Linked DNA regions of Notamacropus eugenii. The protein of the gene in region 1 purifies or fractionates together with the protein of each later gene. This does not show direct contact. Links are inferred from orthologs where the notes say so. Each region holds a gene or a part of one and is shown on either strand. Other genes may lie near its edges.

Evidence for each region.
Region 2: the proteins of CXCR4 (region 1) and TMEM63B purify together in Homo sapiens (co-immunoprecipitation; 3 studies listed by BioGRID and IntAct, with this or other methods). This does not show direct contact. The link is inferred for Notamacropus eugenii from reciprocal best matches to the Homo sapiens genes CXCR4 and TMEM63B.

The regions. Positions count from the first base shown.
Region 1 is NC_092876.1:297,781,382-297,792,375, forward strand, and holds CXCR4 (C-X-C chemokine receptor type 4), read left to right. Parts: upstream 1-5,843; 5' UTR 5,844-6,012; coding exon 6,013-6,042; intron 6,043-8,224; coding exon 8,225-9,286; 3' UTR 9,287-9,853; downstream 9,854-10,994.
Region 2 is NC_092873.1:107,530,116-107,540,672, reverse strand, and holds the start of TMEM63B (CSC1-like protein 2), read right to left. Parts: upstream 4,646-10,557; 5' UTR 4,512-4,645; intron 1-4,511. UniProt on the Homo sapiens protein: Mechanosensitive cation channel with low conductance and high activation threshold. Osmosensitive cation channel preferentially activated by hypotonic stress.

The DNA.
Region 1 (10,994 bases):
TTGGAAAAACTCCTAACTAGAGTTAAGTGTAGTGGAAATAATAATGAATTTAGAGTGAGAGAATATGGTTTTGAACACTGGCTCCCATACTTATGACCTGTGTGACTTTGGGCAAGTCACTGAATTTCTCTGAGTCTCCGTTTCCTCATCCATAAAGTGAGATGGTTGGACTAGACAACTTTCACTTATAGATCTGATTTATTTCAGGACCTGACACCTCTAAGGCTCTAGATTTCTATCCTGCTATGATTCTTTGATCCAATGAGGGAGCTTTCTTTGTACACTTAAGGAACCCTTTGTTACTTTTCCTCTAGTACAATCTTCTACTGGTAACAAGGAAAGAGGAATGCCCTCTTAATCCTACCTTAGTGCTACTATCTATTGCCTGCGTCTTCTCTGTGTGAAAAGTTTCTTTTCCCTTGCTTCAAGGGAATAAGAACCCTTAGTTGAGTTAAGTTCTCTGCCACAGGTAAAGAGCTGAAACTCCATTCGCTAAGGGAACAAACCCCCCTGAGTCCATTAGTCATCCACAGACACAACTGGGAGGTGGGGGGGAAGGGAGAGGATAACTGGGGAAGTGGGGGAGGGGGGCTGGCAAGGATGAGAACATAGCCCAGCAGCAGGTAGGCCAATAATCCTCTTTGGGGTTCCAAACGCTGACCTGACAAGTAGTATGAGACTAACTAGAAGCATCCCCTACAGGAGCCTACATTTAGAAGACTAATCTCTCTCCAGCTCTGGACAGGCAAACTATGCAGCGAATGCCCCGGAGCATCACAGGAGGCAAATGTCGTTGACACTCCACCACTGCCCTGACATATGGTCCCTTCCCTTTTTCTTTTCCCTTTCTTCCATTCCAAGCAGCCAGTACCTAGGGCCTGCCAGTGACCCCCAGGGGCATCCCCTCTCTCCGAGTTGTCCGCCAGCCCTCCCATAGAGCCTGGAGCCTGAAGGGGCAGGGAGGGGGAGGGGACAGCATCGCAGCAGATTGCAGGCGGCTGAAAGCATCCTTCTTTGTTCCTCGGGATAATGTTGAACTGTGGCTAGTGAGCCAGAGCAGATTTCAGAACATATTTGTTTGTCCTCTTGCTGCAGCGGGTTTCTGAACCTAACGCAATGTGTTTCTGGTCTCTTCAGAAAGCTGCTGTGTATCCACCAGAGAGTACTTGTGATACAGTTTACCAAGGTCAGTGCTAATAAATTACATGCTTAAGGAAAACAATGACAAGCGTTTTCCATGGAGAACAGGATTTTTGCACTTGATTATTTCCTTGAAGTCATGCCCTTCTCCAAGCAACATACTCTGATTTTAGACAACACCAGTAGCAACTCTGTGTATTTCACATGGTAGAGCCGGGAACACCTGTCACATTAGCAGAGCAAACTTCAGGGCAATTCATCCTCCTAGCAATGGAATTAGTCAAGTAATGATGATTATATTGTTAATTAAGTGGCTGCTTTGTTACTGTGGCTCAACAGGGAACACTAAATTAACTATAGTTGTTTACTAATCCAGTCTTCCTCTCCCTTCCCCCTTCTCTATACATGCCCATTGTTGGAACTTTTGGAACAGTTTCCTTGATTTCTGTTACAGATTTTACTTTCAAAAAACAACCAGAATTTTATAGGACTTTAAAATGATAGCTTAAGAAGGTAGGTGTTATTATTATACCCATTTTTTTTGCCAGAGAAGGAACCAGGATGAGAGAGACTATGCAACTTTTCCTAGAGTCAAAACATCTAGTTGTGTCTGTGACAAGACTTGAACTCAGATCTCCCTGGTTCCACTTCGGATGGACTGATCCACTTCTGATCCACTGTGCCACCTGGCTGCTTCATTAGCATATCTATATTACATAGAAAAATTCTTTAACATAACATTGCAAGAGAAGTAATTTGCTATTGTCATTCTTATTTCATAGGGAAACTAAGGTTGCAATTTGTCCAGGATCCTATAACTAGTGAATGTCAAAGCTTGGACAACAAACTAGAACATGCTAGAAACACAACATGATCCAGAGATTTAGGGGTCCTCATAAGATCTGCATCTTTGGGGTTTTTTTCATAAGCTAGTACATGACTGGCTAAAGAGAGGGCATAGGTCTATTTTCCAAAGTCATTTTGTTGGGGGAAGGGGGTTGACATTTCACCCCCATCACACCCATTTGGAAATGGTTGTCATTCGATAGCATTGTCTCTTTAAGATTTGTAGCCCTCTCCTAGAATTACATGCTTCTACGGAAATAGCCTCTCTTTTTTATCACTTGGAAAAACATTAACTTTGTCCCTTTGAGTACCCACCATTCCCATCAAAGAAGTTTTGACTTTTCTTCTTTGAGGGACAAAAACAGCCATTTTTCTTTTAAAGAACAGGAGAGGGCGGTGAGAATGCTGTGCCCTTGATCCCTTTCACTTCAGACATTTCACTCCACCAGGGAGCCTGTCCTGAAACTTTCACCAAGTCTGACTTCCAAGCCAACAATGCCAGGGTGAGAGAAGGTGGGGGGGAATGTTGGAGAGAAGTACAGCTTTCTGTCATCCTCACACATATACACACAAATCAACCAGCTGCAGCAGGAGCAACAGGAGGTGGCAGGATGCTTGCCACGGTGTCTCTGAATTTTTAAGCATCCTCTCCATGCTGCGACCAAAACCCAGTCATTCTCTGGGTTAGAGACAGCTTGAGAATTTAGAAACCCGGCCAAAGCAGCATTAACTCTAGATCTGTTACAAGAACCACACAGGATATTCATTCATTCTACCAACAAATATTTATTGAATGCTTGCCATTTGCTCAGCAATGAATTAGATTTGGGTAGGGGATGTCTGGACCCTCCCTTGAAAAAATTTACAATCTTTGAAAAGATAAGATACACATAGAGAAAAAGTTAAATAATAATATAAAAGCTCTTGAAAGGCAGCATATTATCAAAAGCCAAATGAGTAGGAGTTAGCTCTTCAGAAATTCCAGAGATTATTTCTTAAGATTTCTTTCAATTCTAAAGCTTATGATGCTTTGGGTGGAAAGAATGTCAGACTGATCAATGATACATAGATAGATAGACAGACAGACAGATAGACAGATAAAAGCATTTATTAAGTATTTGCTATGTTTTGGGCACTAAATAATATTATGAACTTGAATAGTCAGGTAGGGCTTCTTGCAGAAGCCATGACCTGAGTTAGAACTTGAGTATGGACAAAAGGGGAAATTGCTGGGTGAGTAGGGAAGAAAGAGGTGACCAGCTAAAGTATCTATGTACTCTATTCTGTACTGACACTTCTGGTTGAGAGTAAAACCTAACCCGATACCAGAGCTGCCTAAAAGGACCTCATGACTCAAAGGCAAAGCTAAAAGAGACCTTTAGAAATCACCTCATCTAGCCCTCATATTTTATAAAGGACCTTGAAACCCATAAAGATGAAGTGACTCATCCTATGTTGAATAGGTAGTTAATGGGGAAAGTCCAACTTTCGCCACTTATTAACTGCCTCCAAAGAGACAAATCTGCTGTTTCCAAGTCCAGTGCTTTTTCTTCCCCTCCTTCCCGCCATGTTTTCTTGTTTTATTTACTTAAAGGAGACCTACTTTATGTTCGAAATCAGTCAACAAATATTCATTGTTTTAAACCATCCCCCTTCCTTTATTTTGCCCATCTGAGTGGGAGGACCTCGCTTCTTTGAGTTTCAGCTTCTACTGAAGTTCTGAGGTCAAATGAGCCTTCAATGACCCTGGAGGAAAAAAATACAGTAACAATGTAGGAAGAAAACAAGAAAGAGACTGTAAGAAATATGCCTAATGCTGGTAGGGTATGGTCTAGCACAGAAGGAAGGCAGAGCTGGGACTTAAAAGAACTTCCCCTCCCAACTCTGCCACTACAAAGCCATGTACCCTTAAGTCATTTCCCTCATTTGGAAAATGAGTATACTGCCTGCCCTATCTGCTTTCATGGGACTGCAGTAAGGATCGAATGAGACAAAAGATGTGAAGACTCCTTAGAAAGGTTTTAGGTGATTACAGGAAAGAAGTGTGGTGCGGTGTTGTTTCACTTTATTTTAGGTCTGGAACTGTGATTTTATCCGAGTAGGGAACTCCACGTGACCATACGTGCAACAAGTAACAATATTTCTGAAGAGATGCACAGGAGACACTTAAGAGGTTAAGCTACTTGACAAACTCACACAGTTTGTATCCAGACAGGAACTGAACCCATGGTCTGTGTGGTGCCTAAGGTAGCCCCTCCATGTATTGCCCAGCACTGCCCCTTGTAACATTATCAAACGGTACCTCCCTAAAATGTCAGCCTCTGAGACATTTTGCTAAATTCCAGCTTTCCAGTTATATTTTCAGGGTGATGGACAAAAGAGCGCTAAATGGGAAGGAGATTGGGGGGACAAAGACCTTCGACAGCAGACGGTAGGAAATCAGATGTGACCAGTGGATTTTAGGCAAAACAAATCCTCTGAAGAAACTGAGCCTCAAACTTTTATTTTCACAAAAACATTTCTTACGGGTACCCCAGAGGCTCTGAGGTTGGGGTGAAGTATCTGGCTTGGTTTCTATATTCCTACAGAGACGACGGTAGGATGCGTCAAGAAAAATGCCCAACCTGCTGCAGCTTGGCACGTCCTCTCTTGGTCCCGCCTTCCCACTCTCCTCAGATTGCACAGCTCCCCCTGCCTTATACAGACATAACGCCCATCCTGGTGATAGAAGGCTGAGAGGCAGCCGAAGAAAGAAAAAGGGGGCAGATGAGGTGGCTTTCCGTTGTGATATCTGCACCTCTTTAGCCTAGCATCCAAATAGTGCACAGAGGCTCCATCTCCCCAGCCTCGGCTGTCCTGGCTCCTTTCTCAAGCTAACACAAGATTTGTTTCCTTGTTCATCGCCCTCACAAAAACCATACCCCACTCTTCCACTTTTGTCCCTGTATCCTCCACTGACTTGAGAAACATCTTAATAAATGCTTGTGGATTGGACTGACTGATTGAAACATTTTTTTTCCTCTGTAAGAGAGAGAAGCACTAAATTTGGTTGAAACCCCATCTACTCCAGGAAGGCTTTTGAGAGCAGTTTCTCCAGATTCTTCTTCATATAGTACCATTCTATTCTGCATTTAAGTAAGATTATTGGCCAGGGCATATAGCTATGCGGCGATTAATTTCTTTTTTCTTGAATTACTTCACCTGCAACTTGCCTGACGCGTTGAAGGTAATAGTAATGGGTTTTGTAGTCTGCCTCTGCGTTCTCATCCCCACCCCTTTAGCATTTAAATTTTTCAATACGTGATTTCTGATTGATTCTTATCCTCCGCTCCTGGCCCCACTTTCCCTTGTTACTCATTAAGTGAAAAAGTCCCAAATAGATGTTCCCTTATTGAATCCCTCTGTAAAAAATAAAATAAAATAAAAATAGGGTGCTGATCTGCAGCAGTGAAAACTGCCCTGAACTGAGACTGGAAACTCCAGGCTCTGCTAGAGAAACCAGCTCTGTGACCCTAGGCAAGTCTCTCCTGGTCCTCAGATGGGGCAGGACAAGACGGTCCCTTCCAGCTCTCACATCCCACATTAAAAAGGGATTCTAAGAGAATCTTTTTTCATAGAGGAGGACCAAAATAGGGGCCAGTTCTAACGTGCCTCCATCTCAGTTCCTTCCCCACCTTCCCCGCCAAAAAAACAACACTACGTGACGAAGTTCATTGCGTGCATTGTACAGGGGCTTCCCTAACAGACTCCGCCAGACTAACCGCGGTGCCCTTCTCCCGCCCCTTGTCTCCCCACCTCCCCTCTCCTCCCTCCCCCCCACACACCCCGCCCCGTGTATTCAAAGGACTCAAAGCAAAGCAGTTCCCCATCATCACTCCAGCGGGTGGGACGCATGCGCTGTTCCGCCACCGAGCGTGATTTATAAAAGTCCGGCTCTCCGAGAAACTTCGGAGTTTGTTGGTTGTGGCTGAGGGTTGCGAAGTGATTGGAAAGTAGTGTGTCTGGGCGGAGGCTGCTGCTGCAAGCATGAGTTCGAACAGCGGAGATGATCTGGATGTAAGTTCAGCTCTGCTCTCCTTATTTCTCTGGCTGCAAATGCATTTCTCTTGGCAGAGACCGCAGCTGCCCGATTGCCTAACTTTTAGAGGATGCCCGTTTGCAGGGCTCACAGCACTCAAAGGGGCAACTGGCAGAAATTATTCCTAGGGGTGGCAGAATGAAATAGAAGTAGGGTTTGCAGCTCCTCCTCTTTTTTCCTTGAGACTTGACTTGGGCTACAGAGATGAGCGTGAGTGACTGGGTAGGACCGTGCACTGGCTTGCTTTCTTTCGCATTGTTTGCAAACAAAAAGGTGCATTCAGTGCAGATGTGGCAAGTGCATGGGAAGGAACTGGCTGCCGGGAGCCCCAAGGAAGAAAAAGCAAGAATTGGGGTAAACGGCTGCACTAGCGGACCGGGGAAAGAGAGGGAAAGTGAACTCCCGGGTGGGTGACATTTGTAAAGGGTGCGCCTGGTTTTCTGTCCAGTAGGTGCGTGTGCACCTCCCTCAGAACCGCTCAGGTTCCCAGATTCAACCTGGAAAAAGAAGGAGCAAAGAAAACATTTTTTATTCCCTCTCCTGCCTCCCAAAGCGATCTATTCCGTGCCCGGGGATGAACTAGGTTCTTTGTGGGGGAGTGCTGGCAGAGGGAATGCAGGGTCGGACTTGGAGTAATTCACAAACTCCCTCTGGAGACTGCAAGTCTCATTAATAAGTCTTAAAAGCCTATGGTATAGGGTAGCCTTGCTCTTTCTTTGGAATTGGGATTTGCAGACGCCGTGCCGTTGTGGTAGGTCAGGAGCTCCGGGATCTTCGCTTTGGCGTCGGGCGTCTCCAAGCAGTGTGCGGCTGTTGGCTTGAGTCACCTCCAGGAGCTAGACCCGGAGGTGCGCTAGGTTGGGGAGGTCCTTACCCTGGAGGGCGCGACATCGTCTTCGGCTGAATTGCATCCAGGGGGAAGGGGATGGAGGGTGGGTGCAAGCGTACTAATCGGTTTGGTTCAAAATGCTGCTGTTTAACTGTCGGCGGTTTCCTCTTGCTTTTTGAACCCCCCACCTCATAGTTTTCGCTTCCTCCCACAGTGGCGCGCGATTCAAAGGCAACCAGGGTGGAGCCGCCAGGCTCTCTAAAATGCGCAGCGGCATGCACGGTGCGAGTCATCTAGGGAGGGTGGTACGGGCTTATGGAGAGTGCTTTCAGGGCTCTGGCTAACCTAGTTGCCTGGGGAGAAGAGTAAAGTTGGGGGAATCGGGGGAAGGGAAGGAGAGTGCCTTGAGGATGGTGGACAGTTTATATTCACACTGGACAGCAGGCTGATCGCTTCCCAGTGCGCGAGTTCCAGCTGCTGCCCTCTAGATCCCATTAGCCAGGCTAGTGTGGGGTGGGAGGGAGGGAAGTGGGGAGGGGGGAACATTACTACTAGACAGTGGGTTGATGTTGGAACAAGATAGAGGGAGGAAATGAAACTTGGGGCGAGGAGGTAGAGTCCAGAACGCGTGACCCAAACAACAGCGCCTTCTCCACCCAGGGAAGCGGAGATCCGCTCAGCAAACTAGAATAACCTTGAAGGAATAAACACTTGGGGGGGCGGAAGGTGTACGTATTAACGAGCACGGTTTTCCATGCCTGCCGGACACTCCTCAAGCATACTGTTTTGACAGATATCCCTATACTGGCCATATGTGATTGCAAGGACACTATAGCTTGTGCTTTAAAAAAAAAAGTTTCCTCAATGGAGAACAGAGTTTTGTTTTGGGGTTTTTTGATGCGCTTAAGCTGTCCTTTCTCTTATCTCCTGTTTTTCGTGCTATTATGCTTTTGACCTAGCCACGATGGATCGAATCCCCCTTCCTCCAACCCCAACCTGTCCCGACTCGGAAGAATGTTTCTTTAAGTTTCTTTTGTTGAGCTTGGCTGAGAGGTTCCATGAGAATTCTGAGGTTAACAGAAAAATCCAAGCTATTAGATTACTGTAGGAGTTGTAGATGAGGAAAGGAATGGGGTTTTAAAAGAAATGGTGCCATTGTAAGGGCACCCTTCCCTAGGAAAATTGTTTCCCCTTGGAAGAATTTTTTAGGGGAAATGGGAGAATTTGGATTGCTTTTGTTTAAGAAAAACTTTGGAGTCATATAACTTGATAGATAAGTACTGGTTTTGTCATTTCCTGTCATTTACTTTTCTTATTCTCTTTTCTTGCAGTCCTATACAGGCTTCATCATCGAGCTTCATGATAACAACAGTTCAGATGGTTTTGGCTCAGGTGATTACGATGGCAAAGAGCCATGTTTCCGGCATGAAAACGAGGATTTCAACCGCATCTTTCTACCTACAGTATACACCTTCATCTTTCTGACCGGCATTGTGGGCAACGGATTGGTTATCATTGTCATGGGTTACCAGAAGAAATTGAGAAGCATGACCGACAAGTACAGGTTGCACTTGTCAGTAGCTGATCTCCTGTTTGTTCTCACTCTGCCTTTTTGGGCCGTGGATGCTGCTGCAAGCTGGTACTTTGGAAAATTTCTGTGCAAGGCAGTGCATGTCATTTATACAGTCAACCTCTATGGAAGCGTCCTGATTCTGGCTTTTATTAGTTTAGACCGATACCTGGCAATCGTTCATGCAACCAACAGTCAGAGACCAAGAAAGCTGTTGGCAGAAAAGGTGGTGTACTTAGGTGTGTGGCTGCCTGCTCTCCTGCTCACGGTTCCAGACATCATTTTTGCCAACACAGGTGAAGCTAACGGAAGGTACTTCTGTGACCGGGTATATCCTCATGACAACTGGCTGATTTCTTTCCGGTTTCAGCATATCCTAGTTGGACTTGTTTTACCTGGCCTAATTATTCTGACCTGTTACTGCATTATCATTTCCAAGCTGTCCCATTCAAAGGGTCACCAGAAACGAAAAGCCCTGAAGACAACAGTCATACTTATTCTGGCTTTTTTTGCCTGTTGGCTGCCTTACTACATTGGAATCAGTATAGACACGTTTGTTCTCCTGGAAGTGATCAAGCAGGACTGTGATTTTGATACCGCCGTACACAAATGGATCTCCATCACAGAGGCATTGGCCTTTTTTCATTGTTGCCTGAATCCCATTCTGTATGCCTTTCTTGGTGCCAAATTTAAAACCTCTGCACAAAATGCACTGACATCAGTTAGCAGAGGCTCCAGCCTTAAGATACTTTCAAAGGGCAAGAGGGGAGGACACTCATCTGTTTCTACTGAGTCAGAATCCTCAAGTTTCCACTCCAGCTAACATCATCTTTCAACATCTAAAGAATTTTTTTTATAATAAAAACTTTTTTTTAAAGTTACTCTTTTTTTTGAGATACAAAAGACTGACCATAATGTACAGCTTATTATTTACTGTCAGAATTTATTGTTTGTTTGTTTTTTACTTTAGGGGTGTTTTTGTTATGTTTAATTGGTTTATTTATATAAATTTGTTCACGTTGCGTGTTGATGAATGTCTAGGCAGGACCTGTGGCCAATGCTTGGTTTGCTACTTTTAATATTTGTCTGTATAGCTGTAGAAAATGTGAACTTAAACACTTTTAGAGTGTGTGGTGAATGACTTAAAGCTAGAAAAACTCTGCTCAACTGTTTGTACATAAATTATCTTTCCATTCCAGTTTCAACTGTTTTTTCCCTATTCTTCTGAAAATTGTATGGTTTACACTAGTGTAATTCTGATGTAGACATTGGCACTTATAACCAAAACCCTTGAGTCAAGTGTTAGATGGTTTTTTCAGTATTGGCTTAGTTTAAAAACCTGCAGCATACAGTCTGTGTTAAGCTGTTAATAAAAGGAAAAGGAAAACTATTTGGTGTTCCATTTGTATCTCTGTGGTTGACTTTGTTTAGACTTTCTGGTGCTGGTTAAAAGCTTTTCAGGCTGGAGCCAACGTGCATGAAAGATAATCCTCCTGATCCTTCTAGGCCATAGTCTGGGGTGGGGGTGAGGGGGGTAATGAGACAGTATGAGATTGAGTACCACAAATACTTCAAATTTCCTTAGGTTTGGACTATTGAAAAGCTGTAATCATTATCAGTGGGTTTAGGCATCCAGTCAATTTGATTTTCTTTTAAAGGGCATCTAAGCTTAGAATCATAACATACAATTTAAGGTGGCTAAAGGCCTTTCCTTTTGATTTCTTCTATCTAATATGATTTTGTCCTTAGAAAGAATAATTTCCCTCCCAGGGAGAATCAGTGAAAAAGCTTGACATTTGACAGTGATGATGTCAGAGCTTAAGGGTAAACTAAAACAGCCCATATTTTCCAATTTTTGCACAAGATGAGTTGTGTAATGTAAGTGTCTTAATTACATTAGATTGTGTAAGCCTCCAGGATCTTGAGCAAATTTCAGCTGCAGTTTCCATTTTTTAAAGATTTACATGATTTCCAAGTGGCAACAAACACTTCATCACTTTCCTTTACAGCTGGAGCAGGTTGCTGTAGACAATTTCCTCCAAATTCAGAACTATGAAATAATTAAGACAGTATTTGGACATCAGCAGTCATTAATGACACTATTTTGGAGGGAAAATTCTAATGTCTCCTTTGTGAAACAAATCACATTTGTTCGAGGCAAATGATAGCTCTTTTGCAAGGAAAACATTAGAATTGAATCCCAATTCATTGTGTATCTCACTGTGGTGTGTAAATCTAGGATAATTTAAAGCGGTATTCAACTTTATTTGAGAATACAATTAGATTTTATGTACACTTTAGGTTTCTTGGTTTTCCCTGGGAAAAATAATCTGATAAGCATTCACTTAGGTATAGTTTTACATTTAAGTCTCCCAAATGCCTCTTTAGCAGATTACAAATGAGTTCACTTGAACCTTTTCTATAAATATTTATTCTGTCTGAGACAATAGAAGTTATCCAAAGGAATGCTTTTTCCTTCCTATCTGTTTAAAACCCCCTGCCCCAAATTCTTTTCCCTGCACTATGGAGTC
Region 2 (10,557 bases), on another chromosome or scaffold:
CTCGATAGCTTCCCAAGAGGGATCTCTCTGACTAGATGAGGAGACTGCTGGGGACCTGGGGACAGGAACCGCCTAGACTGAGGCCAAACAACAAACGCAGGGGCGTGGCCATGACTGAGAGAGAAGGCAGCCATGACTCAGTGGGATTCCTGGCCCCCTCACTCTAACCTCCTTGTCTTTCCTTGGGGGTTGCCTATGTGTGGAGGGCAAGAAATTTCCTTGACCCAACAAACTGGGGGTTGTTGTGGAAGGGGAAGTGGTAATGTATTTGAAGTTCATAGGATCATTAGAAATCAAATAGTTGAAATCACTCTCATTTTAAAGAGTAACAAATCAAGGAGCAGAGTAAGGAAGGGTTTGGTGTGGGATCACACAGGTAGTAGTAAGAAGTAGAATAGAAATTCAAATTCCAAATTCAGGATTCTTTCCACCACACCATACAGGGAAATTCAGGAGGGAAGTAGGAGAAAGGGGAGTCAGTTAAGACAGACCATGTGGGGGTGTATCTGAGTAAATAGGTGAGACTACCTCCTCTTTCCCAGTGCCTAGGTAAAAGCCCTGTAAGAGCAATGAACAAATGCTTATTGAATTATCGAACAACTGTTTTGAGTGTATGGGTATGTAATGCCAATCCTGGTGTGAAGACGCAACACATATCAATTGTGGCCTCTCAGGTAGGTGCATCTCTGTCTCTGCTGTGTTGTATACTTGGGGAGATGTGCGTGTTAGGAACCTTGGTGTGTAAACAGAAGTGCCCAGGAGACTGTAACTGTAAGTCAGGGGTACAGTGTAGGTTCAAAGTCCCTCTTCATACTGAAACAATCCCCTTTACTCCAGAGGTGCTTGCAATACCCCTCTTCTCCTGCACCAACGGTACACTCTGTGGTCAAGACACAAAGACAAATCCCCCTCAAGCTCCAATTTCCTGTCTCCCTTCCATTTCAAGGGAGCTTGGCAGTTTGTGTGGCACTGCCTACTCCCTTCCTAGGCAAGGGACCTTCATGAGCTAACCACTCAACCAGAGTGAGCAAGTAAGAGTCATGACAGCTGCTTTGTTAGTTCAAGGAACTGAAACTGAAAAGGACCTCCGCTCGAGTGTCATTCTAGCTATCATCACTGCAGAGTCAATGAAAGTGGGGCAAATGAGCAGAAGGAAGGGAAAAATGTCAAAGGTGACTAAGGGGGCAGAGGAACAGGTTTTATGCAGTTTAAGATTTTAAAGAGCACTGGAGAAGAATAGTTCACATTTATATAGCACTGTATAGTTTATAAAGAATTTAATACATATTATTTCATTTGATATTCACAATGATCCCATGACTATAGATGATTTCCAAGTTCCTTCCTGTCTAGCTCCTAAATCCTTATGGTCCCAAGTTGGTTTTGTAGGTATTATTATCTGCATTTTACAGAAGAGAAGACCTAGGTTTAGAATGGTTAAATCACTTGCCCAAAGTAAAACAGCTAGTAAAGAGCAGAACTAGGAACCTTGGCCTTGTGATATCCAAACCAGTATAATTTTCATTATAGCACAATGCTTCTACAAGAGATCAGAGTGGAATTCTTATGATGGGCAGCAACTTTCCTCGTTGTACTGGGATGCCAGTGGTGTCAAGATTTTCCCCTAGTTTGACTGAGATGCTTAATTTAAGTTGGCAAAGGGTTTATTGTCAAGCCAATTTAGGGTTTTGCTACTGTAAGGTGACAATAGGAAGGGAGAGGGTTACAGCTTAAAATTTATTATTGTAGAACTGCATGGGAAATTGTAATTTAGGACTCGTAATTACAGTCAGATGGTCTATTCCATCAGAAGGATGCCTTGGTTGGTAGATGGGAGACCAGCGTTCTAGTTTTAGCTAGGTGACTCTGTGACCTTGGACAAATCCCTAACCCTCTCTAATGCTCAGTCTTTCTGTTGATAATACAGAGACATCTCTGCCTTGGGCAGAAATGTCCTAGTAAGGATAAAACTTTGAGAATGGACCTGAAAAGTAAATGTAATATAGGAATGAAAAAGATTATTTATTATCAAAGTTAACTTGAAGGGAGGATGGAATAAGCATTTTATATAGCATCTACTATGTGCCAAGCATTGTGCTTTAAAAACATTATCTCATTTTGATCCTCACAACAACCCTCTGAAGTAGGATCTGTTATCATCCCCATTTTATAGTTGAGGAAACTGAGGCAAACAGGTGAAGTGACTTGTCTAGCGTCACAAAGCTAGCATGACCAAATATGAACTCAAGTCTTCCTGACTCTAGGCCCAGTTCTCTATCCACTGCACCAATTAGCTGCCTTGGTGGTGATGGTATAAAGTTTTTTCTAGATCCTCCAGTTCTCCCTCTGGAAAATACCTTTTTTCAACCTCTAACTTCTCTACGTTGTAGAACTTCAGCGTTAATGCAGGTGGTACACACATCTATCAAGTGTGGCCATCCATGACTCAGAATTTATTTGCTTTGAGAGTAAATTTCTCCCACCAGGAAGTCCTCCCTGGGTTTAAAGTGCAGGCCAGTTCAAGTTTTTAGCCATAGAAAATAGGTACCATAGGTAGCTATTCTTCCAAGGAAATTGAGGATGGTGTCCTGGCTGTACCAAAGATGAACCCTGCCACCTGGGTCATGTCACTTTCTGGATCTCAATTTCAACATCTATAAAACTCTGTGTGTGTGTGTGTGTGTGTGTGTGTGACTAAATGATCTCTAATTTTTTTTTTCTAGTTCTAATTTAGCTTTTGCTTTCTTAAGAGAAACTTTGTGGCACAACAGGGACTTGTTATTGTCAAGTTGTTCAGTAAAAAACAAAAATAAAAACTGCAACAAACACAAAACCAGGAGAGTTTATTTTGGGGCTGCTTAAGTCAAGGTGTCGATGATTAAGCTTATTCTGAAAATACGACTTAGGGTCTTTTCCGTGCCAGCATTTCTTTGGGGCTTCCCACCAGAGCTGTTTCCAGGTCCACTATTTCCCTTGTGCCCTTCAGTTGCATCTGAGTGATGGTGGGGCTGCGCAGGACCAGAGAGGAAGCCAGTGTGGTATAATGAAAAGAGCTCTAGACTGGGAACCACAAGACCAGGGCTCTAGTGTTGGTTCTGCCACTAATTAGCCGGGTGACCTTGGCCAAGTCACTTTGCTTTATCCATCTTCTCTTCTGTGAAAATGAGAGCTTCCGGCTAGAATGATTATCTTAAAAGTCTCTTCTAGCACTGAATGGCATGCTGTGTTTCTATAACCTAGAAGGGTATTCTATAGGGGGATGGATGCCAATCTATCACTTAAACTCTATCAGGGAAATACAGGTTGGACTACAGGTCCCAGCATGCAATACTTTGGGCATGCCGGGGCCTGGACTCTCATGCCACCCTAGTGCCCTGGAGGGCAGCCAGGCCAACCTTTTCTTTCCACTCAGAGTAGGAAGGAGAGGGAAGGCAGTGTTCCTCAGCAATCGGGTAGAAACTCCCTACTCCAGTACCTCAGTGTTCATGTAACCCTCTGAGTTGGCATCAGCAACCTTTCCTTAGTGGGCAGAAGCAAGGGTACCACCTCCCCCCCAAACATATTCACAAATACTCTTTCTGGGATACTAGAATAACCGGAATTGTGGCTGGACATCCCCTGTGGATGCCAGGCCTATGCTCACAACGACCCGGGCATGTGCAGCACCAGTGACAGCCAGGCTCCCACTTCCCCCACCCCCCACTGACCTCTCTCTCCATTGCCTGACACCCCGTTGGCCTCCACGCAGGACAAGGGGCAGTAGCCTATCCTTACTAAATCCCCACCGTCAGGCAGAAAAGCAGTGCCTAGGGACGTGTCCTTGTTTCCCCTAGGCCCAGGCTCCTAACCAGCCCGGGTCCAGCCTAGATCTTCCCATTGCCCTCGCCACCGAGCCTCTGGCCAGGGCCGGGAAGAAGCCTGCATTGTGCTGGGTGGAAGGACACTCACGACACAGATACACTCAACAGCCGCCCCCCAGCTCTCCGGCTCAGTCCCCCGGGTCTGGGCCAGGGGGCACGGAGCAATCCTACCGCAGCCCGGCCCGGCGCAGGGAAAGATTCCACTCGTGTGCGTGCGTGCGCGCGCCAGCTCGCGTGTTTGGGGGGGCGGCGGTAAAATCCACGGAGTCCATCAGATCATGCGACACCGTTCCCTCCTCTCTCCACCCCGCAAACAGCACAAAAACAACCTCAACAACGCCCCCCGAACAACGACCCAAAGCAACCCCAGGCCACGGAACTGAACAAGGGGAGGGGGAGACCACATCTGGATCCCCGGCAAAAGGGCGGGCGAGGGGGCGGGGGACTGAGCCCGGGAGGGCGCGTCGTGGGGGAGGGGGCACACCTGGACGGGGCAGGTGGGCGAAGAGGTAGGGTGGGGGCCCCCGAAAGCTGGATGCCCCGAGGGCGGGGGCTGCACACAGCGCGGGCCACATTTGGATCCCGGGTGCGGGTCTCGGGAAGATTTTCGGGAATGGAGGGTGGGGGCGCGGGGAGGGGGCGCCTACTCACCCTCGGGCGCAGACTCGGCTCCCGCTCCGAGGCTCAGGTCGGGGCTCGGGGCCGGGGTGGGCGGGGGCGGGGGGAGGGGGTGTCGCTGGGCAGCTCGGGCTCGGGGCTCCGGAGGCGGCCGCGGCTCCCGGCTGGGGGAGGAGGCAGAAGGGAGGAGGGAGGCGGGAGGAAGGAGGAGGGATTGGGCAGGAGGAGGAGGAGGGGCGGGGAGAGAGCTAAGTGAAGGGGGGGAAGAGGGAGGAAGGCGGGGGAAGGGAGGGGGAAAGCAGGAGGGGGCGAGGCAGCGTCGCCGCCGACCGCCCGGGGCCCACCCCCTAACGCACACATGGCGAAAGCACGCACGTACGTACGTACGCAGGCGTGGAATGGGGCCCGGGAGACCTTGGTGCGCAAGCGCTCTTCAAAGGCGGTGGGGCGGGGCAGGGGGCGCTGTGGAGTCGCGGTGCTGGAGCTAGTGGGGGCGGGGCAAAGTGCGCGTTTAACCTCCGGGTCTCGAGGTTTTCCCTAACTCGGCGGTGAGAGCGGTAATGGCGGGGACAGTTAAAAAAAAAGTTTTTCTTTCTTGTTGCTTTCCTCCACCTAATAGAGGCAACGAGGAAGGGAACACAGCGTGGTTTAAATGCCGAGGTCCTGATTAGGGGGAACAGGGCCAGCGGCACGAGGGGTCCTGGGGAGGGGAGAAGGATCCGGGCATGGTGGGGGAGGGGGTCCTGGTGAGGGGAGGAGCAGGGCGTGGTGGGGGAGGGGGTCCTGGTGAGGGGAGGAGCAGGGCGTGGTGGGGGAGGGGGTCCTGGTGAGGGGAGGAGCAGGGCGTGGTGGGGGAGGGAGTCCTAGTAGGAGTAAAAGAAGGGTAGGCAATGAAAGGGGAAGGCTTCTGATTTAGGGGAAAGATGTAGGGAAGGGCTTCTGGAGGGAAAAGTAGGTGACAAATGAGAGAGAGCTCCTGGTTGAAGTAAATGGCAGGTCCCATATAGGAAAGAGTGTAGGATAAGTGTCATGTCCCTCTGCACTCCCATACCTACATCTCTTTAATATATCTTTACGGTTTTTCTTCTCCCCACCCTCCCAGGAAAATTGTGATGGTGGTGGGGAATTGGCTGAACTGGGCACATCAAGCCAACCTTTGCCCATAGTTCTCCCTTCTTGCACCAGACCTGTGGCCCCTATCACCCTTGTGTGGAGATGAGGACTTACCTGCGTTCCCTAGCAATGAGTAGCCGCGTTGCTCCGTGGGTGCTTGTGCTGTAGTTAAGGCATTGAGAATGGCAGTGGATTCTGGTCTCCCTTTCCTTCTGCTCTTGTGGCATCAGCCTGTCACAGCTCTGAGGCTGCTCTCCCTCTTTTCAGCCAGTGTGGTTTTTTTCCCCTCCTCTTCGTCCTCTCTCCCTCCCCAACTCTTGATTTTGAGATGTGTCTTGTTTATTTATGTCCTTGCCCGGTATGCTTATGGAATAGGGAGTCATTCCCCTTGATGGACAAATTAATTCCTTGGACTGCAGTTATTTCTCTATGTTTTTATTTCACTAAAGATACAGAATCTATCTGCCAGGAACTAAAATGGTTGAGACGGTACTTTGAAAAAAAATGGGAAGCTCCAGTTTGTTCATCAAATCCAGAAAACCATAGAACTTTCCTGTCCCTATCTCATCCTCTTTGAAGTTTGGCGGAAGTAATTTTAGGACTAGTGAAAGTACTACTTTCCACAGCAATTGGTAATTGGTTTGTGTCGTTTGAAAATGTTAATAGCTTCAGGTGTTTAGGACTTTGGAAACCTTAAAAGCTCCACATAAATGCTAATTATCATTACTATAATAAATTTCAGATTGAAAGTTCCATAAGGGGTCAACATTTATTCAACAAATGTTTATTAGAACATATTGGGCAGTTATGGAAAGAGCCCTAGAGCTGGATTGGTCCCACCTTTGCAACTTAATACTTTCATGCCCTGACCATTCTGAGCCTGTTTTTTTTTTCTTTGAGGAGAATAATATATGTTCTTCCTGCTGACGAGTGAGACAGTAAAGTACTTTGTCACCTAAGGCATGCTTTGTGAATCTAAGTTATTGTTACAAACAGGGCTTAGAGATATTAGAAGTATAGCCCTAACCTGGTCAAATGGCATCAGAGAATAAGTACTATTCTCTCCTCCAAGCAGTCGGTGTTACTTCAGACAATGCTGAGTTGTACCACTGTTTGACTTGTCATGGTGATCTTTCGAACCTAAGGGTAAGATATACATTTTTCTCCTTTAAATTTTATCTTGTTAAATTTAGCCTAGGGTTCTAACCTTTTAAGGACATTTTTTTATTCTGATTCAATCAGAATTAGACATATTTGCTGACCCTGGCATTAAGTCATCTGCAGATTGATAATAATTTTTGTCTTTATCTAAGTCATTGATAATTGCTAATAGCGCAGGACCTAAGAGAAACCCCAAAGGGAGACTGTGGTGTGATGGAATCCCAGTGCTTGTGCTTGCTATTGTATGACTTGAAGTAAGTCATGTCCCTTCTTTGGGCTTCAGTTTGCACATCTTTAAATTGCAGGAGTTGGATTAGGACTAGGTGATCTTTTAAGGTCTCTTCCATTTCCGGATATCCTACATGATGTCTCCTTGTAATGTTAATGAAAGTTAAAGATCTTCCCCACCCGTTAATAGGCCTCTGTAGAGCCCATGAAGGGAAGTTTGATTAGGGGAGGCTTGTTTTGTAGGAAGGTGCACACCTTTTGTTAATTTCTATGGAGGCACTGGGTCCTGAGGGTTGTGTCTCCATGCCCTCAGGCTCTGAAAAGTGTGTGTGTGTGTGTGTGTGTGTGTGTGTGTGTGTGTACATATATGTGTGTATGTGTTGTATATACATATATATATATATATATATATATACACACACACAGTGAGGAGTAGTGGAAAGATCCCAGAACTTGGAGTCAGGAAATAAGGATTGAATCCTGGCTTTAATACTTTCATATCTGTGTATGACCAAATCATTTAACTCTAAGCCTATTTCCTGAAAATTGGGGTAGTAATACTTGGATTGCATATCTTCCAGGTTGTGATGAGGAAAGCTTTTGTTAACCCTAGAGTATGCTATATAAATGGTGCATTGATCATTACCTGACCATGGGATATGTAACAAGGTATATTAGGGATAGGAGAAAAAGACCTCAGCTTTATCCCTGGTAGCTTGTAAATGATAGAAAAGGTAACCCTTTTCAGCAGAAATAAATGTATATAAGTCTATTGAGGAGTAGAGTAGGTGTGAGGTTATTTTAGGGGGTTAGAAAGTTGACTGATTAGGGAAAGCTTCCTGCTGGAAGAGGTATGATTGAGAAAAAGACAAGTCACTATCTACCCAAAGTATGCCTGTTGAAATTTGGTGCCTAAGTTCATTAGTTCTGCATTCTTGTAGTTGTTGTGGATGGAAGGGAATTGTTTAGATTCTAAGAGATCTGGGAAATTTTTCTGTGAGGAATTCCTCTCTATACCTGTACTGCCATTTTTTGATGGAGTTTTCTGAGTACAAAATCTTGTAGTGTTCTAAGCATTTTATGATTGTAAAAACTTGTGTAACTCAGTGCCAGTCTAGCAAAATGCCTAAAGGCTTCAGCTTACCCTGAGCTCTTTAAAGAAAACCTAGCTAATATTAGTTGTGAATCAGTTGTTCAACATTTAGTAATTGCTTCCTGTGTGCCAGGCACTGTTGTGGATCTGAAATGTGTTTTGATTCCTAGATTATAAACATTTTGTATCTATGCTGCTTTTCTTTGCTGGGTAACATAATTTGTGTGTATAACACTTTGAATTTATGATGTGTTGTTAATACCAATATTACTATCTCCATTTTACAGATCATGAAACTGAGGCTCAGAGGTGACTTGACTTGTTACATCTAGTCAGCAGCACACCTAGGACTCAAACCTAGATCTTCTTCTAAATTCAGTTCTCCTCCCACCACACTTTGCTTCCCAGACTTTAACCTGGAGGGAGTACATGAGAGGCAGTATGGTACAGTGGGAAGGGCATTGGATTTAGAAGACCTGAGTTAGAATCCTGGTTCTGACCCCAGAATGTGACTATGGATAAGTCACTTAACATCTTTGAGCCTTGGTTTCTTCAACTGTAAAATGTAACTAACAGGCTCCTATGTTGTAAAGAAAGCACTTTGCAGACTTCAAACTGCCCTTTGAATATTATTATGATCCACATCATAATGTTTTCAAGTAGGGGAGTATCTCAGTACAACTGGAGGGAAACCAAAGAGAGAACACATTAAGAGAGAAAAGTGCCTGGAGTTGGGGCTTCTCAAAGAACCAGAAACCAACATAAGAGGTATCTGAGAGTATATTTGATATTTAGAGTTTCCTTTACTTTGGATAGACACTGAACCTCTTGTTACTGCTGAAGTCTGGCATTCTGCTGGACACCCTTACATCTAAGGGTGCTGTCTTGTCTACAGTGACCATGTTACAGATTCCCCAAGACAGTCCTGCTTTCAGGAGAAGAAGGGGTACTTTTAATAAGGCTTTACAAAAGAAGCAGAGTCCTTCATCAAACTATACCTACTAATTTTTGTTTCAGAACATATCACAATCCCTTTCAGAGCTTAGAATTTTTAAGGTTGGAAGAATCCTTCAGAGATCAGTTAGTAGAGTTCTTTCTCTGTCTTTGGGTAGTGTTATACCCAGTTATCCAGACTCATTTGTCTATTGTCAAAAATATTTTTGACCCATTTGAGGACTTGGGGAGGAAGATATTTTATTTTAAAATTAGGCCATAGAGAGTGTTGTTCCAGTTAATTTTTCACTTCCAAAAACTCACCAAGTGCTTTCTAAGAGCAGAGCACTGTGTTAGGATCTGGAGGAGATTGGAGGCTGCCCAGTTAATGCTACATCAATAATAATAGTGTTAGCATTTTGTTTTGTCCCTTTTTGTGAGGTCAGGGTGGAGTGGAAGTTCTTAAGTAGCTGTGGAGTGGGGAGAGGCAGGAAAAGCTTAGCGAAAGAGGTGGTATTTGAGTTAGATTTTAAAAGATGGATAGGAATTCTGTGGGCAGAGACTGCATTCCAGGAGTATGGAAGTATCAGTAAAGATACAGAGCTGGGAGCTCGGCCAGTGGGAAATGGCGAGTGGGTCCTGCTTGGCAGGAGCATAAAAGGTGTGGGGGTAACATGAGATGGAAAGCTGGGAAAATAGGATGGTTTCAGATTTTGTAGTTCTAGGTTCCAGGCAAAACAGAAATAGACAGTAAAGAGGGACTGAAATGTTTTGAATAGATGAGTGGCATGACCAATTTATATACCAAGAAAATAAGTTTGGCATTCATTCAAAGGATGGACTAGAGGTGGGAACTTATCATAATGTTATTATAGTAATTAGCTAGGTGGTAATGAGCCTATGTGCAGTTGGAGCAGTTGGGATAGAGAGGATTGTTATGTTATGGATTTGAATAGGTTTTTTGTAACTTACTGGATATAGTAGATTAAGGGGACGGGAGTCCAAAATAAGGTTTTGAACAAGGCTCATTATAGTCTCTTTTGATGGTGGTCACATTGATAGAAGTAGGATTACTGGATCATACACTTAGAACTGGAAAGGAAACTGAAGTTCAGAGAAAGGAGATGACTACCTGAGGTCACACTAGTAAGGTAGAGCTGGAATTCCAATCTGGGTATTCTGACTCCACACTGGCTCTTTTCAGCGTATCACAATACCTTACTAGAAAAGAGAGCTTGAGAGAACCTCAGAGATATCTTAAATTCAGCTTCCTCATTTTCTAGATGAAGAGAATGAGCCCAGAGAGGCAATTAGTAACTCATCCAGGGTCACAGTGAGGTTCAAGCCCAGGTCTTCTGAATGCAAACTTGGTGCTTTTTTCACTGTAGGACTTGAGTTTGAGGTGCTGATGGGACAGTTCAGATGGAGGCCTTGGAACTCAGGTCAGGTCTGGAAATAGAGATTTCAGAATCATCTAGGTAAAGGTGATAGTTGAAACCAAGGGAGCTACTTACAGGGGTTGTTAGCTTGTTCTGGGTTTACTCTTCTTGG